Arabidopsis thaliana: one gene and its partner. The protein of the gene in region 1 interacts with the protein of each later gene in a biochemical or structural test. Each region holds a gene or a part of one and is shown in the gene's direction. Other genes may lie near its edges.

Evidence for each region.
Region 2: the proteins of PRK5 (region 1) and GRI form a complex in vitro, tested with the Arabidopsis thaliana proteins (one study listed by BioGRID).

Annotation. Positions count from the first base shown.
Region 1 is NC_003070.9:18,740,173-18,745,379, forward strand, and holds PRK5 (Leucine-rich repeat protein kinase family protein), read left to right. Parts: upstream 1-1,854; 5' UTR 1,855-1,998; coding exon 1,999-2,707; intron 2,708-2,893; coding exon 2,894-3,568; intron 3,569-3,652; coding exon 3,653-4,329; 3' UTR 4,330-4,633; downstream 4,634-5,207. UniProt on the Arabidopsis thaliana protein: Receptor-like kinase involved in the control of pollen germination and pollen tube polar growth. The extracellular domain serves as a sensor for peptides derived from GRI. May act as a downstream element for ROS-dependent cell death induced by GRI.
Region 2 is NC_003070.9:19,794,189-19,797,591, reverse strand, and holds GRI (Stigma-specific Stig1 family protein), read left to right. Parts: upstream 1-2,047; 5' UTR 2,048-2,138; coding exon 2,139-2,645; 3' UTR 2,646-2,869; downstream 2,870-3,403. Other genes in the region: AT1G53120 (RNA-binding S4 domain-containing protein), read right to left, coding at 2,987-3,049, 3,127-3,226, 3,308-3,403. UniProt on the Arabidopsis thaliana protein: Involved in the regulation of cell death induced by extracellular reactive oxygen species. Only the processed peptide, and not the full length GRI can bind in vivo to the extracellular domain of the receptor PRK5.

The DNA of each region.
Region 1 (5,207 bases):
GTAGCACATGGTTCTTCAAAATATTAATGTTAAATTCTTTGGAATAAAATTAAAAAAACGTACGAAACGAATAATTACGAGAACTTAAGAATGTAAAACAAATCATGATGATGATTGATTATTCTATGTGTGGACGACGAATGCAATAAACATCTCTTTGTTTTACTTTCTATTTAGTAAACCTTGAGTCCTCGATGGCCAATCAAAGTACTATACGTAACTTTGTTTTGGGTAGGGAGTACTACTATACATAATTAATGTAGCATAAAGCATAACGATATATTTTCGCCTTAAAACTGTAAACTTAACCGTAATAAAATTGTGTGCCGCATGTCTAAATAATTCGTGTGTTCATCTTTTAGTGAAGTAATAAAAGGCAAGGGTAAAATGGTCCGCACAGACGCAGACATCGATGAGATCGAAAACAAAAGTAACGAGATGAGACCAAACGTGCAAGCCATGGGTTGGTCCAACACTTATCATTTTTAGGCCTAAAAGTTTGTGATTATTCCCTGCCTTTTTATCCTCCCATTTTTTCTTTTATTTACCAACATATTTTCTTTTTACATACATCAGTGAGATTTTTTCGACTTTTTTTTCAACTTCGTGTTCAAAGATCAGCGAGTTTTTTAGTTTGACTATTGATGCATCATACATTTGTTTAACCAGTGGTACATACATACGATTGATACACTTTTACAATCCACGTATTTACGACAAATGTGAATTAATATTTAATACACTTTATTATTAAATTCAGGCGTCTTTCTTTTGTGAAAAAAAAACACTTAATTATATGCATTCATTCTATAATTACTCATTTCATTATTAATTTCGTAAGTAATTATTTAGTATTATACTACTACCCCGCAGTACCATATTATCAGCTTTGAATACCCATAAATAACTAGTTTGATAACTACAATGGATTGGATTGAAACATTAGTAGACTAGGAAAAATCTCTTTTATATAATACTAGTATTCAAAAACAAAAACAAAAACTGTTATCAAATATACATCCACTTTAGTATGTTTTCCAGTACGAACCGAAATTGGAGTATGGACACTGCATAAGCAGCAGAAATGTGTACTTGAAAGGTTCACACCTTAAGATTTCATGCCGACCAATCGTGTCGGCCCACCAACACTTTAAAGCTCTTTAACCCAATTCCGCGTTCTTTCAGAAGAACAATTTCAGCATTCAACTTTTTGACCTTCCATTTTCTTTTTCTTCATTTTTTTACATTTGATTTTCTCCCCATAAAGTTTAATTTTATCATTGTTTATGTCTTTTGTCTTTTTTATGTCTTTCCTCGAGTAACACTGTCCGAAAATAACAACTCTTAATCGTGCGCAGTCACATAATTTAGGAATAACAAAGTCATCCTTTATAATTTCATTACTAGAATTTTGAAAAGAAAATTAAGAGACTACTAAGTTTTACTCCTAGTTTGACTGACCATATTTGTCGATTAATTTATAAAACATGTTGTTTGTTTGTTTTTAACGGGTAACTGGTGATAAAACAGAAATCTCTAAAACTCTACCGAGTTATATCACATTACTTGTTTAATTGGTTCAGATATTATCATCATCATATAGAACAATCCACCAGTTATGCCTGATTCTTAAAATCAGTTATACCAAAATAATTCTCATATAGAGAGAAAAATAAATTTGGTTGGAACTAAAGCAAATGACAAATCAGTACAACAACGATTACATGTATATATAACTTAAAAAGTTAAAACAAGATAATTGAATGGTTATCCAAAGAACTCTCTCACCTAATAATAATCTTAAGATGCCACAAATCCAAAAAAAAATAATCACAATTTTGCAAATTTAAATACTTTGCTTTGTCTATTCTTGGTAGGTTTTGTTTTTCTCTCTTCCGTTCACACAATTTCTTGGCGATCACGAAAGACAAAAAAGAAAAAGAAGAAAACAAGAGATTTCACATCAATCAAATCGATTCCATTGCGCGTGTAACCGCAATGCGCAATTGGGAGGACCCGTTTACGCTTGCGTGTAACACGGCCTTGAAGAAGAATCTACCTTCTTGCATTTTCATCATCATCTTTATCAGCGTGTTATGTCCGGTGGCAATGTCTCAGGTGGTTGTGCCGGATTCAGATGCAGATTGTCTCTTGCGATTCAAAGATACATTAGCAAATGGTTCAGAATTTCGTAGTTGGGATCCATTATCATCACCATGTCAAGGAAATACAGCAAATTGGTTTGGTGTTCTTTGTAGCAATTACGTTTGGGGATTACAACTTGAGGGAATGGGTTTGACCGGGAAACTAAACCTCGACCCATTGGTTCCAATGAAGAATCTGCGAACCATAAGCTTCATGAACAATAACTTCAATGGCCCAATGCCTCAAGTTAAGAGGTTTACTTCGCTGAAATCTTTGTATTTGTCTAATAACCGGTTTTCGGGGGAGATACCCGCAGATGCATTTCTAGGTATGCCACTTTTGAAGAAAATTTTGCTGGCTAATAACGCATTCCGAGGAACAATTCCTTCTTCTCTAGCCTCTTTGCCAATGCTTTTAGAGTTGAGGCTAAATGGTAATCAATTTCAAGGGCAAATACCATCTTTTCAACAGAAGGATCTTAAATTAGCTAGCTTTGAAAACAATGATCTCGATGGACCGATACCTGAAAGTCTTCGAAACATGGATCCAGGCTCTTTTGCAGGTAACAATAAAAATGTTCTACATATTAATATTGTCATATAATGCTTTTAGAATCAAATGTCAACATGACATCCTTTTTAGGTGTGCAACTAGAGAATTCATTATTTTCATATAAATTTTGCATAAACCTTTCAAGAGTTTGATGCATTTTTGATGACATGAATATTCTATGTTTTGTAAATTGTAGGTAACAAAGGTTTGTGTGATGCTCCCTTAAGTCCATGTTCCTCTTCCTCTCCGGGGGTTCCTGTTGTTCCGGTATCTCCCGTTGATCCAAAATCTACTTCTCCTCCCACGGGGAAAAAGGCCGGATCTTTTTACACTCTAGCAATCATTTTGATTGTTATTGGCATAATACTAGTGATCATCGCGCTTGTGTTCTGTTTCGTTCAATCAAGAAGACGTAATTTCTTGTCAGCTTATCCTTCTTCTGCGGGAAAAGAAAGGATAGAGAGCTATAATTATCATCAATCCACAAACAAGAACAATAAACCCGCAGAATCCGTAAATCACACAAGGAGAGGATCGATGCCTGATCCAGGAGGAAGGCTTCTATTCGTGAGGGACGATATTCAAAGATTCGATCTTCAAGATCTTTTGAGAGCTTCAGCTGAAGTTCTTGGTAGCGGAACATTTGGTGCTTCATACAAAGCAGCGATATCTAGTGGACAAACATTGGTTGTGAAGAGGTATAAACATATGAACAATGTCGGAAGAGATGAGTTTCATGAGCATATGAGACGGTTAGGGAGATTAAACCATCCAAATATATTGCCTCTCGTTGCTTACTATTACCGTAGAGAGGAGAAGCTTCTAGTCACTGAATTTATGCCCAACAGTAGCTTGGCAAGCCATCTTCATGGTATGTTTGAATAAGAATTGTTAATAATTTGACATTTTATAAAACTTTTTGTGAATACTAACTATTTGAATTATACGTTCGCAGCGAATAATTCCGCTGGATTGGATTGGATAACACGTTTAAAGATCATAAAAGGAGTAGCAAAGGGTTTATCTTACTTGTTTGACGAGCTTCCAACACTAACAATCCCTCATGGTCATATGAAGTCATCGAATATTGTTTTAGACGATTCATTCGAGCCATTGTTAACAGATTACGCTCTAAGACCTATGATGAGCTCAGAGCACGCACATAACTTCATGACAGCTTACAAATCGCCAGAGTATAGACCTTCGAAAGGACAAATCATAACGAAGAAGACAGATGTTTGGTGTTTTGGTGTGTTGATCTTGGAAGTTTTGACAGGAAGATTCCCTGAAAATTACTTAACGCAAGGTTATGATTCTAACATGAGTCTTGTGACTTGGGTTAACGATATGGTTAAGGAGAAGAAAACAGGTGACGTGTTCGACAAGGAAATGAAAGGGAAGAAGAATTGTAAAGCGGAAATGATTAATTTGTTGAAAATTGGTTTGAGATGTTGCGAAGAAGAAGAAGAGAGGAGGATGGATATGAGAGAAGTTGTGGAGATGGTTGAGATGTTGAGAGAAGGAGAATCTGAAGATGATTTTGGTTCTATGGATCATCGAGGGACTCATAATAATGTGTATTCTTCCATGTTGTTAGACGATGATGACTTTGGTTTCTCGATGAATCGATGAGTTTCAGATTTTCGGTTGCTTTTAGGAATATTGAAAAAGTTTCAAAAAAAGGTGGTTATTCCGGCGGAAGTAGCTTCACCGGAGCCGGAGGGAAGAATGAAGAACATGTGCTTGGTTTTTCTTCTTTTTAAGGTTAATGCAGATAAAAAATGTATGAGAATGTAATGGACTAAAACATGTAAATATATTATGTATCTGTATTAATGTATATTACCATCATCATCAGCTTTAGGTCTTGAATCCAACAAATGATTTGTGTTTTATTTTTTTTTGCCTTTTCAATTTTATATACCATTCTCGTCGTGTTATAAGTGTAGATTATTTTTTTCTAACATTTATATATATATATATATATATATATATATATATATATATATATATATATATATATTATCATCGTCAGCTGTATTTTGGCCTTAACATTTCATTTTTGCTTTATATATGCGTTCACTAGATCAGCATTAATATTTTGTATAAATTAAATTGTATATTTTGTTTGAATTACATAAAAAATATTATAGTATAAAAATGATGTCATAATATTTTTTAATATTTTTACTATTTGCATATAATGCTTCATTAGATTGACTTTGTTTAAAAATGTTATTTTTATAATAAATACAACATATGTAGTTTTAAGTAAATGTGTAAAATTTGTATATAATTGTTTTGGTAAGAAACATTTTTCTTTTGTATTAGAGGATCTAATTTTTGGCCTAACTTAGAATTAGTCTTTGTATAGTATTTTGGTTACATTTGTAGACCTAATTGGGGCCTATATTAGATTATCTTTGATAGGGCTGACGAAAAAACGGACCCGATAACCAACCTAATACCCGAACCAAAAAACTGGGTTAGGGCGGGTTAAAATTTTAGGA
Region 2 (3,403 bases), 1.1 Mb from region 1:
ATTTCGTAATATAGTAAAAAAAAAAGTTTATAAACTAAACCATTAAATAATTATCATTAATTATAAACCCTAAAACAAATTTATTAAACTCTAAACTTGTAAAGATATAAACTCTCAATTCTAAAACTTGAAGTTTAAACTGCAAAATTAAAAAAAGTCATAAATCCTAAAAATTAGACTTTAATAAAAAAAATTATGAGAGGATTTACAACCAAGACAACCTTTTTCTTGTAGTGATATATATATATATAAATATATATATATATAATTACAATTATGAGATTAGTGTTCAAGAAAGCTAGACGACGGCCGTGGAGTCGCACATCTATGAGATTCGATCTCTGGCTTCGCCTTCGGCTAAAACGCGGCTTCGGTAACTAAACCAATTCGATTAGTAGTGTAAAATATTTTTCATTAATTTTTTCACATAAGTTTTCTATTATTTGATTTTTGTTTTTATGCTAATGCGTATTTTATATTTTTGTCAACACGTATAGGCTTCATAGCTTACATAGCCTTTGCATGTCATGTGCGGCATAGAATTTAGAATCAATGATCAGAATATATAATTAATGAACAATACATGATCATTATTTCTCACATATTTCAATATAAGTTGTATATTTATAAGATTATAGTATCATTATTTCCTCCAACTTTTCTGTTGTTGTTTAGGTCAACGAGCTAGTAAAAAAGGGTTAATGGTCAACGGCTCAACGTTATGGACTTCACGGTCCGAGTAAGTTAATCAACTTAGAAGGTGATGAAACGACTGTCATGAACATTTGATAATGACACGTAGAGGTAGAGAGAGCACATTACAGTCGCCAGGTTCCGTTGCGTAGTAAGCGTAACCGGTGTGTGAATCTTACCGGCTTTAATGGCAACAAAGAAGGATCTAGTTCCACCGTCACCACACGTGCAACGTTTGAATAAAACTTTTGTTTTAAGAGACAACTCATGTACATGCACTTTGATGATTTCAAAGAGCACTTGTGCTGTTTTGTTTCAGTCATGTGTGTTGTTTGTTCCATTATGGTTTTTAGCCTAAATTAATTAGTTTGACTCTCTTTTCTTATTGTTTTCGTACACGAAGTCACGAATCTAATTCATACTCGAGATCAAACAAGTTTCAAATTTACATAATAAAGGTATTATAATACAACAGAACAAATGTAACCTTTTATCATCAATAATATTGATTCAATTATGATATGTATTGAAAAATGCATTCACGTTCTTGACAGTTATACATAAATCGTATGTAACAGAAGCAAAGGAAATGGATTGGTAGTTTTGTGTCTTGACGGTAATGCTGATGTTTCTGAAAAAAAAAGTAGCAATCAACAAAGTCATAGAAAAGCTAAAGTGACAGAAAGTAAAAATACGTTAGTAAAGATAATAATGGTACAATACTCAAGTATTTTTTTGTTTGTGAACCGAAATTTATTAATGTTCGAATTTTTCCTTTACGATTTTACTCATTGCTGACTACTATATAGACTTCAACTCCATATATACTCTCTACAAAAAGTAACATAAGATTTTCAAATTATATGAAAACTAATAGTAGATGAGAAAAAGCAAATGGACCGTATTGTTCATAGTACCTATATGTTTAGATCGACATGCTATTTTCTAGGTTTTTAGGCCATTCACTTAGTTTAAGTTGTTTACTTTTCTGTTTTTATGTTATAGTTATGTAAGGTATTTCAGAAATATTTTCACAGTCGATCTTATTATTTTATATGATACTTAATTACTAAAATCCTTCATATCTATTTGTCAAATTAATTTGTCTTTTAACCATAACGAAAGATTCAAAGAACTGTTTTACCATACCATTGAAAACCTTTTTCGCCAATCAGATACAAAATTGTATGACGTAATCTAGACAACAATCACTTGTGGTAGCCTAGATTTGAGGAAAAGTCAATTCATTTAAGCAATTGCCTGCAAAAAGACAATTTCTTTTAAAAATAAAATAAATTCGAAGTTTCAATAATGTTTTTGCTGCCTTAAAATACCTCTTCAATCGCAAGAACACAGATCTTCACTTAAGTCCCACTCTTTCTTTTCCTTGCTTCTTCTCAGCTCCAAAGCCAAACTCTCTTTGGTTACTTTTTACTTAAAACAAAATGGTCATTAAGATCCCTAATACTTTCATTAAAGCCACTTCACTTCTCTCATTGATCCTCTATTTCCTAATAATAGCAACATCTAAGTCTAACTCGGTTTTAGCCGATGAAGTTGTCGACCAAGAAGATGACCCGGAGTACTACATTCTCGACGAAACTCCCTCGATACTTTCAAACGTGACAATTTCATCCAAAACTAGGCTACTAGTTTCCCACTACAAGAAGATCAAGAAAGGAATGAGATGTCACGTCGAGAGTTACAACATTTGCAATGGCGTAAAAGCGAATAAAGGGACGAGCCTCTTGCATTGCTGCAAGAAGCATTGTCGGAATGTGCTAGGAGATAGGAACAATTGTGGTCGATGCGGTCACAAATGCGGTTTCGGGCAACGTTGTTGCGGTGGCGTTTGCACTTACGTTAACTTTAACCCTAACCATTGTGGGAAATGCACTAGGAAATGTGCGTCCGGGGTTAAATGCGAGTACGGGTATTGTGGGTATGCTTGATTTTTATAGAAAAAAATGAAAAAAGTGTTATATCGTAATTTTGAGTTGTTATATTTTTGGTTTTTTTTGAAGAAACTGTTATTAGCATACGTAAGGATTTCACGTATACAAAATCTTCATGCATACGCATGTAATGTAATGATTTTGTGAGTGAGAGTATACATATGTAAACACATACATGATTATTTAATAGAAATAAATAAATAAATTGTTATAACTTTGTAGATTTTTTCGTCGGTTCTTTTACATTAATAGAGATTAATTAGAACTAGTCCAAAAAAAATAAAAAACTATGAGAAGAGAAGAAAAAGAATGATTGATAATTTGTTTACAGCTTCTTTCTAAAGATATCTGATGATTTCAACTGCAAATTTACCTTTCTTCGTTTCATTGATCTCTCCAATCTGTGATTGAACACAAAAAGGTTAATGTTATTGAAACTAATCAGTAACTAAACTCACTTTCCAACAATCTTTCTTACCTTGAGTCTCCCTTTCCCGCTAACGGAGACAACATCACCAGTCTTCACTATGGTTCCGTTCTTTGTAACGGTTGCCCAGTTAACCCGAACATCCTTGCTACTGCATACAAAGAAGAATTTTCTTTAGCAAATATGAGAATGCAATGAAAGATCAAATGGAAAAATAAAGCTTTTTGTTTACCTAATCAAATCAACTAGCTTTGACCGCGAAATCTTGAAACCAGCACTAGCTACTGCATCAATTCTCAACGAGGCCTCCACGGTTTTAAAGGAATTA